2 linked regions of the Alligator mississippiensis genome follow. The main gene of each other region encodes a partner of the protein of the gene in region 2 in a complex. Links are inferred from orthologs where the notes say so. Each region holds a gene or a part of one and is shown on either strand. Other genes may lie near its edges.

Region 1 (8,655 bases), on a different chromosome or scaffold from region 2:
GGGGGAAACACCCTTGCATTATTCCTCCCGCACTGCTTTTAGGGACGTGCAGGGATTGCTCAACAGGGAAGTCCAACGTGTGTATCAGAGCCATAAAACAGATACCCGAGCCACACGTTTATAGTAGCTCCATATAACATGAGTTCGTTCCCTTTGGACTCCGGGGCCTATTGTGCTATGACTTAGACATTTTATGGGACGAGCCGCGTGTTTGCCCTGTGCAGCAATGCGGTGCCCGTCTGGGAGGGCAGGGAGCCATGAGGAAGTGGGCTGGCAGTGCCCCCCTCGCCCGCCGGCCGGGCGTGCCTGCTCCCACCGCTAAAGGTGAAACATTAAGCGCCTGAGCCCGCGGACGAGCAGAAAGCCCTTCCCTGCCCAGCAGCCTCGAGCCACGGCGCTTTATAACCAAGAAAACAAATCTGCAAGAGGCGCAGGGCTGCTCCGTGCCCCCCCTCAGGTCTCCCTGGCCGGATGAAGAGGGAGGCAGGACCTAGTAAAGGGCTCTCCTTCCTTGTACACCGCCTGAGCGGGATTGTCAGAGTCAAAAGCCGTGAAGCCCAGGCTCTTTATTAATTCAGTGGGTCGTGTGCCACAAATCAAGCCCAATTCTGTTCAGCCACCGTGAAGCTCAGCAGGGCAGCCTCGACCGCCGCTTTGTGTGGAGGCGAAGTTGTTCAACAAGCCCCTCTCCTGCCAGCTCCTAATCTCTGCACAAACGCCCGGCTTGAAGGAAACACTTAGCAGGTACCTGTCAGTGCAAACAGCCTGGTGGGCTTCCTAAATGCCGGCCTGAACTCCGCATTCCTCCCAGCCCGCCCCGGCTGTGTACCTGTATTACCCGAGATTGCTATTTTATTTCATACAAATTCCAGCTTTATCATACTGACCTGGCCTCCTTATCTCTGCCCCAGATCCAGCCAATGGCTGCCGGGGTGGGGGGGAGGCCAGGGGCAGGGGGGCATTCAGCAGGCTGCTCCTGTCACCTGCGAAGTTGAGAACCTGCCCTGCCGAGCTCTGTTTGCGCTGCCCCCCTCCTCAGTTAATATTAACCCGCAGCTAATGCATTCAGCGGCTGCTCGGAAAGTTTAACTATTCCATTCAGGGAAGATCTTGCCATGGCTGAAAGGCTTGCACTGAGCAGAGCAAGACTGGGAGAGGGGGAGCCGGGGCTTGGCCAGGCCGGGGGTGGGACCGCAGTGCCAGGGAGCCCCCCGCGGGCCCTGGGGAGCCCCGGCACCTCCGCGGCGGCCCCCCGCCGGCGGGGGTGCTAGGAGCCGGGATAGGCACTGGAGGAAAAAGTGTTTGTTTTCGTTTGGTTCGGCTGAGGGAAGTTGACAGAAGGTCAGAAGTTCAAACGCTGCCAGCTAATGCAGCGAGAGTGGCAAGCCGTGTAGGAAGCTGCGTATTCCCAGGGAAGGGCGGCCGCAGCCCGCCGCCGGGGAGCGAGGCGCTGCCCCCGCCGCCCCCCACGTCTGCCCGGCCTCGGGGGTCCCCCGCCTGCACCGACATGTGTGTGTGCACCTCGACACACATGCGCAGGCATGACGCGCCCGTGTGCGCACACACACACACTCACACACACTCACACACGCACGTCTCTGCCCAAGCCGTATTAAAAAGGATACGAGCTGAAATCCTAGCCGTTGCGATCGATAACAGAGGAGTAAGTGGAGCTGAAAATGCGAGACGTGCCTGACTTGCCGCACAGCTACCCTTGTCTTACAGCGCTGCAGCCAGGGCTGTGACAGGGGACCGAGCCGGATCTCCCCGGGCCGCCCCCCCCGCGCATTAGGGGCCGAGATGAAAGCCGGTGCGGAGCGGGCCCGGGGACCCGCGGCACGACACCCTCCGCGCCGTGGCCTCTGCATATTTAATTGAGGCTCGCGCTTCTCCCTGGCAGAGGCGCGCGTCGACACTCAGAGGTACAGTGAGATTTAAGGTGGTCGGGAGAGATCGCGGCGGAGACCGGTCCCTCGCCCCAGCCCCCGCAGGAAACCGGGCCAGGGGCGAGGGCAAAGTTGCGGGCATCCCTCCCACCCCGGCGCGCTGCTGCAGGGCGAGGGCTATGGCAGCACCGAAGGTGGGTCTTAAATATATCAACAGTGCAAAAACATTTTTTTTTTAAAAATCCACCCCCCCCCTAGCAAAACCTCGCTGTTGACCTATATTTGGAGGAAACCCATTCCCAGTGTCTAGATGCCAGCTGCACTTTCCAAACTCCAGCACCCATGGACCCACTGGCTTCCCCCATTTCCCATGAACAACAGCATGGGACTGTCTGAGGGCTATTTTTTTTTTTTTTTTTGCATAAAATGGTTCCGCATTCTGATTCCAGCCGAGGTGGAACATTTACCCAGTTGTAAACCTTGTGCTAGCTCATTTTAAAAAAAAAAACCCCACAAGTGATGCAATGCTGATAAGTTGCAAGTCCCTCCCCTCTGGAAGTACCAGAGCATCCTTAAAGAAATATCAATATATTTACGCTCTGATGGGCACAATTGCAAATGATGGGATTGCAATACAAGCCATATAATGCAGGAACAGGAGAGGCATGGTCGATTCTGCTTCAGCTGCTTTTGTGAGTGCGAGGTTTCCATAGCTGCTAAATTTAGAATGGGCTTGCAAGGAAAAATAAGGAAGGGCAAATAATAACAGCATCAAAATCAAGCCAGGCGCTGCACCGAGCCAGGGCTGCATTTGTAATAATGAATGAGTGGCCTGGCGGTCACCATACACTTGGGGTCCTCCGAGCCGTATGCAATTCGTTTGATCAAAGTGCAGCCTTGGGGACAAATGCAAACAGAAATCTCTACCCAAGTTACAGGGGACGCCATGGCCCGGTTCTAAGGGCAAGTATCACATCAAAGCCCAACACATGTCTAGCAATAGGCAGCTTCCCTCTGCAAACTTATCGGGCTATAAAGATGTAGGCTTACATTTAAGAAGGCACCTCCCCGGGTGAGTGTTGGGGGAGGGGATGTCTTTCAAAAATACCAAGACAGATGCTTCATTTATCATTGCTCAGATATGTTAACAAACAAATATATATGCATCTATGTGGCTCTACCTGAGTCATCAGTCTGTCAGCTCCAGTGTTCTCTTCATCCTTAAAAATAATGTCAGGGTTGTAATTTGGGGTTAGTTCTTTAAATCTCTCGGAGTTTCTTATGATCTTCCCTTCATATCTTCCACTGGCCCCTAGGGTCTTCTCTGCCACATTGGGGATATACTGCTTATAGGCTAAAGGGGTCAGTTTTTTGGGGTGTCTCCTTTTTCCAATCCCCCTGCCCGGTCCACAAGGCAGCCCCGAGGAGACCAAAAGAGCGCAGATGAAGCCCACCAAGAGAATTCTTGTCAACAGCAGCATTTCGTCCATTGAATCCAATTACTTCCCAGCTTTCTGTGGCTATCCCTGGCTGTCTCTCTAGATAGCTCTCTTCCTATGTCCTTGTCTGCTTTCTGAATCGTATGCTATCCACCGATCCCTAGCAAGACAGGTGCTGGAATGGCAGGCTCTAGGTCGCTGATAACGGAACACATCGGAGTTGGGTCGTGAGACAGCAATCGGGAGACAAAAAGGGTCTGATTTTAATGGTAGCAAGGCTAGAGACGCTTGTGAGAGGAGTCTGCCTTAGTTCTATATTATAGCTGCCAGGGCCGAGTCCTGATTGGCCAAGGCGAGACAGCTTGTCTTCTGATGTATTAACCCTCAAAAAGGCAACAAATTCTTGAAAGATTTTTTTTTCTTTTACCTGAAGGGCTTGGAGCTGAAAGGGGTGGAGACTGCGCTTTCTTGGGATAACATCAATTACATGCTGTTTTTTTGGGGGTTTTTTTTAACTTTCTTGGCAGAATGGTACATATGTCAGCAACAGTAACAAATGCCCCCGTGAAACAGGGAGAGAAGATGATCAGGCTGTCTCCCTGCTAGTCAAATTTTCAAGGGCAGTTTAAAGCAATATAAAACAACGCCTTGGCTATCACACCACGTTGCAAAAAAACATTTTTTTTCCAGGGGCAAAATGACAAGCCCATTTCATAAGGAACCCACCTAAGTGCCTGGGAATCAGTCTTTTTTTCCCCATTGAGTTACAATACTGCACTCTCATGAAAGCAATGCAACTTTTTTTTTTTTTAAACCACACTTGTCTTCCCAGCAGTTAAGTGACTGGATTAGAAGAGGGGCAGAAAAGTCATTTTGATATAAAATTGGCAGTTTTATAAAGTTCCTGGTGTGTGACTTTTACAGGACACAACTGCTCGTGAGGGGCACTTTATTACAGTAGTCTTCAGAAAATATTGGACGTGAAGGAAGAAAGCAGCAGCGACCTGGTTCAAAACTGCAGCCTAGGTTTGGTGTCCCGAGCAAGTTGGGGCTCCGGTCTTTGTTTCTTTGGTCTAGCTGGGAAAAGTGCATTTCAGCCCCTTATACCTCCTTGTGGGGTGTCATTAAGTTTTGAAGAAAAGCAAGGTGTTGAAAGCATCCGCAAACACAATTACCAGAGATCGATCCGAGCCAAGTGAATGGAAAGGGGATAAGTTTAATGTTAAATTAATTGTTATCTCATGCAGCGTGGCAAGTGATGTCTTTATCCCCATCTCCAAAAGCTACTAATCAGACAAAGGTGTTGAAAGACGAGCAAAATTGCAGAGAGATGGGGCTGATAGAGCAGGTTAGACAGAAAAGCAGAGTCCCATAAGAACAAACACTCCTGCTCCTGTAAAAAGCTCAGATGCTTTTGCTCCAAAGAAAATACAATTTATCCAAGAATTTAGAAACTTTGAAGAATTTTTTTAAAAGACTTCTTTAAAAACCTAGACGGCTTGTTGGCGTAATTCAAGAGTTCCCCTTGTCCGAAAAGGTGCGGGGGAGTCCTCTTTATTCAACAAGACAAACTTTGTGGGACAAGCAGCAATGGAAGAGTTTTCCACAACTGTTAAGTAACTACTGGACTTTTAAAAAGAAGTCGTGGATTTTAAAAAACAGTGTTGAAGTAGTAAACAGGGTTGTGTAAGGGAGCAGGGTGGCAGTGGCAGGACACGCGGAGTGGCAGGGACCTAGCTGGGATGCTTTTTCCTTTTAGGCAAACTTTACAAAGAAAGAAGCCGAATGAACTTGATCCAGAATTGTCTGCCCGCCTTCGACTGTCGGTGAAGTCGACTTCTTGCCTTGCTGCTGTTTTTAAGATTTCAGTGATTTTCTTTGCCCAACTCCAAACTTAGAAGCTGCGAAGGAGCTGAAAAGTTCGAGATTTCCTTCCCGAGCGCTGAGTGAGTTTAAGAAACAAGTGATATCAGGGCCAAAGAGCTTCTTGGCACCATCTTTTCCTAAAAACTAAGTCCTCTCTTTGTGTGTGCGTGTGAGAAGACAGGTTCAAGGAATATATAATTTATACAAAAGAGTGTATGCTCTTTTGATGTGGTTGCCTTAAACAGCATGAGTTGATGTAACAGTTGATTAAATAGTGCCAGGGTATAAAAAAACAACCTATTTCAAATGGCGGGGGATCTTGCAAATCTTTTATTACCCCTCCTGCCCCACCCCCAAAGGGAAGATGATCAATACCCCAGTTAGTGAGCGCGTGGACATTGCCATGAAGAAGTCTAGAGAACAAGGACAAACTCCCTCATTATCAGATTGCCATATGTACAAAGCAGTCACCCAAAGATTAACAGGGAAGGAAACGCAAAGAAGGAATTAATTAAATGCGAGTAATAAATGCAGGGGGAGGTGGGGGGGGGGGAGAGAGAAATCAAGAAAAGTTGTAACGATGGGAAGCTTAAAATCAGCCTGCGATCAAATTAGACGTGAAAGAAAGCAGAGCTGTGTTTTCGGGGTGGGTCTGGTCAGTTTCAGCCAGTGCAGGGCTCCCAGCGGCACTCGGAGGAGCCAGGGCAGCGCTGGCCGGGGCACACCGGGGGCATTTCCGTGGGGGCGGCGGGGACAGGCTCCCCTCACTTCAGCCCTGATGCCCCGGTGAGAAGTGCTGCCTGCCCCCCCGCTGGGACCGCTGTGGGGTGTCCTGCCCCCTTCCCACCACCGCTCCTGGACAGACGCCGGCCTTCAAGCGCCGGGCACACGTGCGTGCCCCCGCCCGGCCTGCCGGGCCGCTGCGTGCCCGGGCGCGCGGGGCTGCGGGTGCCCCTCGCACGTGGCGTTTCACCACCACCACCACCACCAGCAGCAGCAGCATCCCCGGCTCGCCCTGCTGCTCTCTGCAGAGGGATTCGTGGCTCCCTCCTGGCTTACAAGAAGAAAAAAAAAAATCAATGTTGCGTCCAGTCGTCTCCGAAACCCTGAAGCTCTCTGGGCTTCTCCTCTCGGCCCCGCGTGACAGCGCCCTGCGCCTGCCCCTGCCCCCGGCTCGAAGGTCACGGAGCCGCGGCCCCCGCGGGAGCCCTGCCCCTCCCTGCCCGGGGCCTGTGCCCGCCCGTGCCCCAGGCCCTGGGGACTCCCTGCGTGCGGGACCCCGGCGCCGCGGTCGCTGGCTCGGCTGCTTTGCTTGCGCGGAGCCCGGCGCCCCGGGAGGAGGCTGCGGCCCCAGCACCGCTCCCCGGCACGTCCCTCCCCGCGGCGGGCGGGCGCCGGCTCCGCCCCGCACTGCGGCTCCCGCGCGGGCGCAGCGGCCGCTCCTCTGCCCGGGGCCCCGGCTGCGCCCCCTGCCCCTGCCCCGGACCGCCCCGAGCTCCCCAGGCACGGGCACAGCTCCCAGGGTCTTCGGCGGAGGGAGGATTTGTCCTGCAGCTGTCACTGCCCTTGGGCAGCTCCAGCCTTTCTGTAACCCACCGCTGCGGAGATCTGGGCCTGCGGCAGGCCTGGCCTTCCCTGCCGCTGCCTGGCTCCCCCGGGGTTGTGTGTCAGTGTGACACACTGGAGAGGAGCTGAGCAAAGACACACAGGCATGGACCCACATCCAGGTGGCCATCCTGACCCTGACATGCAGAGGGAGGGGTACGCCCATTAAACTGGCATTACAGGACCACTGAAAATCAGGCTTCAGGTTGACTTCAGTGGATTTTGGCGCAGGTGTGTATAAGTATACATATGCATATATGCCGTTACACACACGCACACACGTTTGCATGTATGTGTAGTATATTGCCCTATAAACACCGTTACGGCTTAGGTGTCTGTGTTGGCACACGCGATATAAATAACTATAATTTGCCTTCATCATTTCACATGGTGATTCGGGAATAGGACTTATTTGAGATCTTGGCTATTTTTATCCTTTTCAAATATCCAGAGTGCTAGTGTGCATTATTCAAGGGTAGGGAAGCTTTTAAACGTTTTAGCGATTTTATTAGTGGCTTATTTTAAGCTTTCCAATGTTCCTTGTCCAGCTGAAATCTGGTTTTGACTGAAGAAAAAATTCCTTCGGGAAAGAATAGATACTGAAGTAAATGCCTCCAGGAAAGAGTAGATCAGATGCAATGTTTGTGTAGATTTTAACTGGGCCTTAATTACTTTCTGAACTGCCACCCTTTATACTCACCTTTAATATATGACTTTTGAAATCAATTATCACTTTGCAGTGTTAAAGCTTCCTTCCTTGTAACCTCTTTGCATCTGTGATGTTTATCAAGAAATACTGGGCCTAATTCTTTATTTACTGAGGTGCAAGTCAGGAGTAACTCCAGTGAAGTCAATAGAGTTACACCGGTGTAAAAACACATAGAAGTGAAAAGAGAATCAGGTAGACCTGTTATTTTAAACCTTGCTCGGTTTTTTCTCCTCTTACTCTTTAAGATGTCAGGCAATCATTTTTTCCAGGAATTTTTCACCAATGCCAGTAAAGTTTGTCTCTCTTAATGGTATCCATAAAGCCATTGTTATGGTTGATTAAGACTGTTTAAGAGAGAATAGCATGTAATGCTCTACATGGCACAATTATAAGGCCAAATCTGAGCAAGTCTTTTGCACAGACTCTTGCCAGAAAACTCATACCTGGAAGAGAAAACTTGGGTCAGAATTTGTCCATCCTAGTCAACTCCTTCGGAGAGCGGAGAGAGGAGCTGCACAATGGATACTGCCAGGTATTGCCATAGAGATATGGGCAGTTGAGTCTTGGTTTGTGATATGTTTAAACTTGTGTCCCTGACTTGGCAGTGGTCCATAGACTTAAGTTATTCCTACTTCAGGAAGAAACAATCAGTGGGTGCGTTTACATGTTCATTAATCCACCTTAGTTCCCACTCATTAAGTTTTGTATTTGGATAACCAAGTACTAAATCAATGCACAGTAACTGGTGCTACTGTGCAGTAGCACCAGCGCACAAGTTTTTACAGATGTTATCTATGCAGTAGCCTAATATCACTGTGCAGTGGCATATTTGTACAGGTTTTACCCGGCATGCCACTGCGCAGTGTTATTAGGCTACTGCACAGTTAGCATCTTGTGTAGATGCACCCAGTATGTAAGGATAGATGGAAGGCTCTATATCAGACTACCGCTTTCCAGAACATGGTCACCTATTAATGTTGACTTTCCAGTTCTTATGAGCATTTGTGAGAGGAAGTGATGACACTACTTTTTTTTGCTTTGGATTGCGTCTGATCAATATCACCTATTGTTACATATATCTAACATATATTGTGGTAGGCAACTTTATTAATAAATTATCAATATAGACTTTTAAATCTTTTTTTGTTGC
Region 2 (8,603 bases):
TTGTTGAAAAAACAAATATTCTTTTGTGCTTACTTATTATTTTTAGCCAAATTATAGGATTTTTAAATCAGAAAATCAACTGAATGTCTTACCTACCCCTCAGGAACATTTAGCACAATATTGCTGATATAAAGGTTCTTTTTACTGTTTTGAATATTGGGGAACCATGTATGACTTATGAATTCTGGTCGATAATATTATGGAGTTATGAAATAGTTGTATATTTGGAGTGTCCTTGTGAATGCTTATCCCACCTTGCTGATGAGGCTTCTAATGTGTCATTCCCATACCAGGAGACAGTCATTTGATAAATCTAAATGGTGGTTTACTTAAGTCAAAACAGCTCAGTATTGAAGTGTGAGCAGGTGGAACAAATGTGGTTCCTACCCAGAAAAAAAAGTTAATTTTGTTTGTTTGCAGGGAGCTAGAGTTTTAAGATTGAAAAATGAGCAAACAGAATGAAGTAGTCAGTTAGATGGTAAGGGGATATATGAAAAGTAATACAGGAGGCTTGGGGCAAGAAACAGGAAATCTTATGCATGGACAGGCTTTTACAGCAAAGGAAGCCTGTAGGACCAATTAGAAAGGCAAGCTGGGCTAGAAAGATTCTGTAGTTTAGGAATATATCTTGAGCTATACAGAAAGGTTGTAGTCCACCCCAAAGAACTTGACCCTAGACCAAAAACGCTCCTGAATGATGAGGAAGCTAAGACAAAAAATGCTGTCAGGGTTTATTTTTCTTTCTTAGATCTGGGTCTTTTTTTGCTGTTAAGTAAAGAGCAATAATATGTTTAGAAACTGTGCAAAGCATGTGCATAGGTTGCCAACTCAAGAAATCATTTTTAACTGACAATCTGCAAGGTTTTTACTGGCAGTCAAACTGTTCTACTGATGTATATTTTACAAAATGTAACTCTTGTGCAAGGCCCTGTCCTGCTGCCAGGCCTCAGTTAGAATGCTGGGTTCAGATTTAGCAGTTTAAAATCAACCTTGATAAAGAAGTTTGGTCTGTAAAAAGTTTGCAGTAAAAAAAAACAAACTTTGTGGGTCAGTTGTCCTGCTTCACTGCAGTGATTTTTACACTGTGCTTCCCTCACCCCTTGCCAGAGGTCCCCTGCTCACCCCACACCCTGATAACCCCAACTGCACCCTGCATCATGCTGCCCCCCTACCACCCAGCCTTATACCTGCCAGCCCTGCTCCCTTGTTCTGGCACAGATGCCTAAAGAAGCGTATCTGCAATGCAGCAGCATTACAGGCAGCCTGGGAAGCAGCTGCAGCATATTGCTAAGAGAGCAGTCCCTGCAGGGTGTTGTGCTTCTCCTTGAACACCAGGTGGCACTGCTCTGATCCAGCTGTCAGAACTTCAGTCAGTTTCCAGCTGCTTAGTGTTTTTACTGCTGGCTAACGCTTTTTTATGGACTTCACTGGCACCCACTTTCAGACTGATTTTTTTTTTTTATTGACAGTTAGCAATCCTGATGTGTACATGCATCTGTTGCATGCTTCTGAGGAATTAAAGCTATAAAGTAAAAAGGCGCTCACATCTGTGGTGGGGAGTTCTGGGAGGCTTCATATTTAAGCTACAGGCAAGTCTGAAGGGTTCCAGCTAGGGTTCTGTCTCACAAGGGCATCTAAACCAGTGGAGCTCAACCTCTTTACCTGGTGGGTTTAATGGGCAGCGCCCAGTCCAGCTGTGGGCCGGATCCATCTGGTGGTCCCAATCTGGCACCTGGGGCTGGCGTGGTGGGACCGCATCCGGCCACACAGAGGGGGCAGTTGCATTGCGGGGGGAGGGGGGACTGCCACGGCCCTGCGGTGGCAGGGGAGGGAGCTTGGCCTGGCCCCACAGGGCAGGAGGGGGCATGACCCGGCTCCAATCCACTGCATAGGGCTTGGTTTGGGAATTTTGCAGCAGAGGTGCATGGCAGTATGAATTGTCAGTGCTTCCCTACTGCCAAATTTCCCAACCTGTGAGGTCCTGCGGGCACGATATCCTAGCTCCATGGGCAGAGGTTGAGCACCCCTGATTTAAAGGGAAGATCTGCTCTCTGATTATATGCCCAGATACTCCAAGATAGTGGTAGTACTTGAACTGTTTTCTGACTCCAGAGGTTTGAAGCATACTGTGGCCAGTAAAAAGGGCAACTGCTACCTGCTATCTAGCCAAAATATAATTTCTTGCTTTGCCCATGTAGTATCCAAATCTTTCAATTTTCATTTTAAATTGGGGTGTAAGTGCCTTGGATGAGAGACTTAAATTTAAAAACAGCCTTATCAGGGAATATTTGGATCTTTTTTCCTTCAGAATATAATGAGTAATACAGATATGTTCTACTTTGTAGTGGGCCTGTATTTAATTGTCTCATTGAAATTCCCAACAAATAAAAGCTCCAGCTAGAAATGTCTATGCTGAGACTCTTTTTCGGGCCAGACGAAGCTAATAGTTGCCGGCTGTGCTTTTGTCTGTCCTTATTAATCCAGGTACTGCTACTGCTTCTAATTTTCTTCTGAACCTTTGAAATCCAAAGAAATCCAAATCCTATCATTTCAGACAGCATATAACAATAGGATTTTCTGGCACACTTGTAATAGAAAACTTTATTTCTAAATCTGTTGTGCAGAAAGAGCACGGTAAAAATGTTCTGGACAAAAAGATGTGGTTTTGGCTAATAGGCAAAAATGTTTACTGGTAAATTATTTATCACCCTAAGTGAAGAATGTGCACTGTTCTGTTGTAAATCAATTTTAAAGTATACAGATCTGCCACTAAGTCCATATTGCTATAAATACTTACTCACCTGACTTTCTATTGTTTCAGATAAGAAGTTTGGTTACATTTTGGGGGATGGCTGGAGAATTTTATTTTCATGTGGAAGGTGATCAGCACAGCAGTTAACAGTCTGCAAAACTGTACACAGATGCTTAATGCAAAATAAGTTCAGTACAGTGTCCTTGGCACTAAAATTAGCTTATTCCACTTCCAACTACGGTATATAAGCCCCTCATTTAAGACTTCAGAATACATTGCACATTGCAGGACATGTAGGGCTTATTTAATTTTTCAGACTTTCTTTTAAGAAGAGAGTTTTTTGCTTAGGAGGGATGGGTTTGCTCTAAAAAAATCTTACTACCTTCAGTGAGGTTAGTATCTGTATTAGTGGTGAGATTTGTATTTCATCTTCATTGAGAGAGAAGCTTGATATGGCTCAAGAATTACTTGACTCCTTGTGGGGTCTGACAACTGTGAAATGAAATCAGAGACTCACTTTGCCATTTTGCATATGCTACCAAAATACTGGTTAATCAATTTTGGCCCTTGCTAACCTCTGCTGGACATAAACTTGTGGATTGGAGAGGAATGCTTCGTACCCTTTGCTAAACCCCAGTTATTTTCTGGACTCTTCAGCTGGCAGTGAATAATTTAAATTAGTTTTCTGATATTTTACCAGGTCTTAACCCATGTGTTCAGGTAAAAAGAATTTTAAGGCTAAAAATGCACATGGAAAAAAAAATCCTTACCTGTGCCAGCAGCATTGTAAACATTCTTGATAACTTCTCTTTTGTTTGCCAATTTTTCCTTTTCCTTTTCAAAGTCCAAACAAAGCAGAATAGAAGTAGTAAAAAAGTAACCATTTTCATTTTCTGGTTCTCAGGGCCTAGACTTGCTCCAGTTTTCTTGTTGCAGTTCCTGCAGAACAATGAATAAATCTAAGTAGATGTTCATCTGAAATTAAGAAAAAATCCCAAATACATTGATTTTAATATTCTATTTAGTAAAGATTTATAAAAACCTACATCTTAAGTGACAACTTCCTGATAATATATGAATTGTATATTTAATCTCATTGGCAATGTATCCACCAGAAAGCAAGGAAGAGCTGTTGAATTAGATGGATCATGGCATAGAGGAAGCTCAAGTATAAACTTTTCTTTGTGCCAAAATATCATTGATTTTAATGACCAAGGTTAGATATGTGACAAGATTTAATTACATATGTGGCCTGATTGATGCAGTTAATTCCTTTCTTTTCCAGTTAATTAATTTTTCTTAATTACTAAACCAAAAGTAATTACTTAAGAAAAGTTTTGGTCCTTTTATAAGTAGCTGTCTCTTCAAATGAGACTATATTTAAAGTGAGTGGGTCCACTGTTGAACCTCTCCTGAACTCTTATAGCACATGTAGTTACTGTGTAACTTTATTCAGAGAGTCCATGGTAGTTATCTTTCTTGATCTTTTTATTTCCCAGAAGTTATTGTCTCGAAGCCTGATATAATCTACCGTGCACATCCCTTTCTTTAGTATTCTGCAGGAGAACATCATCCATTCTTCAGGTGGAAGGATGAATGGCTGTGGTTCACTCAGGTCAGTCTATGCTGCACAGTTAACCTTGGCTTATACCCAGATATTAACTTTAATGCTCTCCTACCATCCTCAGCTTACCCAACTGGGAGCTGAGGGAAAACTCAGGCTCCACTTGGAACCTGACACTTTGCAATGGCAGACCAATTCCCATGCAACAGACACCATTGACTGGAAAATAATGTGTGTCTCAGAAAAAAGAACCATGGAACATGCCTCAAACTTTCAACAAGCACAGACACAGTAGGGACACAGCTACAAAGGTAGGTATGGTGAAGATGCTTGAACTGAAGCTAAGCTAACCATTTAGATTAACTGGACGTTATAGACTTGGTTTTAGCAGTTGTCACTACAGAATTTTCATGATATGGGACTCTGAGGTAGAAAAACTTGGGTGCAGTCTTCTAGGCTAGGAACAGAAGTTACACACACACTGGTTTAAGTGATCAGAAACCAGTTTAAACCTGTAACAGAACAGACATTCAGTGCACATAAATCACTTTCAAAATGGCCAAAACTGCAAACTTAACTGATTTAGGTCAAACTGGTTTACAGAACTTCTGTCCCAGACCTCTTCCTGGTTGAAATTAAATCCCATTCCCCCAGCGTCCCAGGATGTTCTGCAGCCCTGGGCTGTGCTGCCTGCACCAGTGGAGCAGGGTTGGCTCCACCCATCTCCTCCCTAGTCAGAGCATTATCACTGCTCCAGGTGGTTGAGAAGGGGGTGAGGGTGGGAAACACTGCTCTGGAGTACCCCCTTTGGCAGGAGTGGGGAGTGTGGCCTGAGGGGAAAGTGGGGGTTTAATTCTCCCTCCTTCCCATCTTCCACCAGTGTGGGATCCCAGCTGGGGTTTGCCTGGCTCTCCCTCTGCCCCCTCACCCCCAGGCTCAAGCAGTGAGAGTGGGGGCATAGCCAGACCCCGGCCCCAGGCCTGAGATGAAGGGGGGAGGAATCCCAGAGAAGTGAGGCTGGCAGGGACCTCCAGAGGTCCTCTAGTGTCTGGTCTAGCCCCTGCCTGAGCCCTGGCCAGACCCTCCCATACAAGCACAGTCTAAAGAGCAGAGGGTTTGCTCGCAGAGCCCACAACTGAGAACACCCACTGGGGGAGCACTCTGTACTGCTGGGGAGAAAAGCCACTGAGAGCGTCCTGTAGCCAGTCTTTCCCTTTTGCCCCACAGTGGGACCTAGTATTGTGCCCCTCCGGTCCTGAGCCCTAGGCAGTGCCACACATAGAGGCCCCCCCCTCCTCCCCAGCCCTGTGGTGGGGGGGGGGAGGAGGAAGAAGAGGAGAGCCCTGCCCGCTGCAGCAGCTCCATGACAACCCAGTCCAGCCTGGGCATGGGGCACCAGGATTAATCCAGGTGCACAGCTCCCACAGCCCCAGCCCAAGCTGCAGCCAGCTGGGCCCAGCCCCTCCATGCCCACCCTCAGCAATGCCTGCAGGCTGGCCCAGCTCAGCCCCACAGTTCCAGTCTCAGCCCCAGACAAGGTGGGTGGATGGCGGGGCCAGGCTGAGCCATGCCACAGGGGCAGGGACCTTCTTATCTGGCTGCAGCTTGGGCTGGGGCCATGGAAGCTGTGTGCCCAGATTGCTCCCAGGTCCCCGCGCCCTGCGCCCAGGCCAGCCTGGGATGTCATGGAGCCACTGCAGCAGGCAGGCAGGGCTCTCGCTCTCCTTCTCCTGCTCTGCAGGGCTGCGGGGTGAGGGGGGCTCTATGTGGCACTGCCTTGGGACTCAGGCTGGAGGAGCACAGTACTGGGCCCCACTGTGGGGTGGGGTGGGGTGGGGTGAGGAGGGCACCAGTCACAGGAAGCCTTTGGTGGCTTTTTTCCCCAGCAGTTAAGAGCCCTTCTGGTGGGTGTTTTCGGTTGTAAGTGCTGCAAGAAAACCTTCCACTCTTTAGATTGTGCTTATATAGGAGGGTCTGGTCAGGGCTCAGACAGGGACTGGACTAGACACTAGAGGACCTCTGGAGGTTCCTGCCAGCCATGCTTCTCTGTGATTTCCCCCCTCCTTGCCCCACTTCGTGTCAGGCCCGGGGCTGGGGTCAGGCTCTTGCTGCTCAACCCTTTGGTGCCAGCCAGGGGCAGGGTCTAGCAATGCTCCACACCCCCTCCTCCCACCAAAAAAGCCTGCTGCTCCCCGCTTCTCCCTCCAGGCACTCCATGGTTGGGAGTTTAAACCCCTCCCTAATCATACTCAGCACCTGCTGGGGCCTGGCCAAGCCCTCCCACCTCAGCTCAGCTTCCCTCCAGCCTTCTGGACACTGCAGAAGGGAAGGGAGGACTTGCTGTAGTGCCCCCCTGGCTTCTAGCCTGAGCCACTGCAGGCATGTGGCTGCATTTCTGGAATCAAAAGTGAATGTCTGTTCACTTGTTTCTTGGTTTAATCTATGTAGCTTAGACTAACCTGCAAAGACTGAATCAATTCATGCTCAGGATTTTTGAATGTCTATACTCAGCCCTATTCTAATAAGCCAGGGGTTTTCAACTTTTTTGGATCAGCTGCTGTGTGCAAACTTCCCCTGCCCCCCAACATCTGGCTGGGTGGGTGACACCTGCATGGTAGTGCAGAATAGTACGTGGCGGCGCTCTGTCCCTACCCGCCTATGCATACCCCCTAGAGCCTTTTCAAGTACCCCCAGGGGTACGCATGCCCCTTGTTGACAACCCCTGTCATGCTCAAAGCATGCTAATTTATGTGCATTGACAGTCATGTTATAGGAATATGGATAAGATTTCTGGGGGAATATTTATTGGTTTTTAGTGTTGTTTTAAGCTGTGGCACTCTACAGTTCACCACATTAATTTAAATACCACACATACCTTTCCCTCAAAAATCAGCTCTCCAAAACTGGGTTATATGTCTTATAAGTGGGGAAGTGGATTTCCTTTGCCTGAATAGAAGCATGGTGCTGTGAAATGGCTGCTAATGGTCTCTCAGCAAGCAGGGATAGAAGCCAGTGTTAACTTTTCTCTGCTGATTTCATATTGGCAGTGGTTTCCGACTGCTTATTTGGGTGTGTGCAGTATGTGAAAAAATACAGTATTTTACAGCCAATTATGGGAAAACGTGTCTATCCTTCTGAAGCTCCTGTGCAGAAATGTTTTTAGCTCACTAACACAGTAAATCAGTGGTCACCAACCAGTGGATTTCGATCCACCGGTAGAACTTGGAGCCTCTTGTGGTAGATCTCAGAGCCTCTTGGAGTTGATCCAAGACTGGGGTGGGGGGCTAAGCGCCCGCAAGCATGCATGCATGTGCGCACCCCAGGCCAGCAGGTCAATCCGTGGGGGAGGGAGGGAATGGGGGCTAGATCGAGCCCCTGCAGTGAGGGACCGTGCCACAGAGGCAGGAGGAGGGGTAAGTTGAGTGGGGCATTGGCCCGGTGGGACTTACCTACTGGGGAAGTATGCCCCCAAATAATTTTTTCTCCCTCTGCCTTGATCTCCCCACCTTCCCTCCCCCTAGACTTACCTGCTGGGCGGGGAAGGGGCGGGAGAGTGGCAACGGCACACAGTAGATCTTGGGTAGCTTTTTAACGCCAAAGGTGATCTCATGCTTAAAAAGGTTGGAGACCACTGCAGTAAACCAACAGTTCTGGCTTTTCATGCTGCTTGCTGCTGTTTGTGGCCCCTCTTTCATCTGGTGTTGAGTCATGGATGTATGACCCATTCCAATTATTGACACTATTCATGGAATGTCCATTTCCACAACTGTAGGCAGATAGGTGACCTGAAATACAGTGGACCACTTTTCAGCAGCAGCTTGTTCTCAGAAGAAAGCAGTTTGTCTTAGTGAAAGAGATCATACAGGCTTGGTGGTGAAGTGGAGACATCTGTTGTTTTATAAATAGCTGTGGAATCCTATTGATGATCCAGTTCTGGAGAAGATGCATAATCACAGAGCAATGGGACTGTGTCATCAGGTAGCCCTGGGATAAAAAACTGTGGTTCCAGAACTTCTGCACTTTTCTGGATCTGTGAAGGGCTTACCTTACCCAGTCCAGCTGTATGGTAGAGTGAACAGAGTACATTTGCCCATATTGGGTAAGCAAGCCGGGGTTCGAAACACACACAAACCATGGTGAAAGGCTTTTGTGTGTAGATGATAATGAGAGCTGAAGGAAAACTGTGTAAAGGCCCATATTGTCTATTTAGGGAAGACAACCGTAGGCAGTCTTAAGTATAGCTCCTTAATTAACAGAAATCATTATTTAGCAATGTAAATGGGTTTG

What was found.
Region 1: the proteins of DISP1 (region 2) and SHH are in contact, whole or in part, in a cryo-EM structure (PDB 7E2I), measured with the Homo sapiens proteins. The link is inferred for Alligator mississippiensis from reciprocal best matches to the Homo sapiens genes DISP1 and SHH. Residues at the interface, in NP_001356523.1 of Homo sapiens: Lys242, Thr244, Gly245, Tyr246, Lys247, Ala248, Glu260, His265, Arg299, Phe336, Gly337, Asp338, Leu339, Cys340, Gln341, Arg342, Thr343, Glu459, Arg899, His904, Asp906; in NP_000184.1 of Homo sapiens: Pro49, Asn50, Val51, Thr55, Leu56, Gly57, Ala58, Arg68, Glu71, Phe73, Lys74, Leu76, Thr77, Pro78, Tyr80, Pro82, Arg96, Leu97, Gln100, Lys186.

Annotation. Positions count from the first base shown.
Region 1 is NC_081828.1:203,989,678-203,998,332, reverse strand, and holds the start of SHH (sonic hedgehog protein), read right to left. Parts: upstream 3,659-8,655; 5' UTR 3,377-3,658; coding exon 3,068-3,376; intron 1-3,067.
Region 2 is NC_081824.1:182,113,282-182,121,884, reverse strand, and holds the start of DISP1 (protein dispatched homolog 1), read left to right. Parts: upstream 1-4,329; 5' UTR 4,330-4,344; coding exon 4,345-4,367; intron 4,368-8,603. UniProt on the Homo sapiens protein: Functions in hedgehog (Hh) signaling. Regulates the release and extracellular accumulation of cholesterol-modified hedgehog proteins and is hence required for effective production of the Hh signal. Synergizes with SCUBE2 to cause an increase in SHH secretion.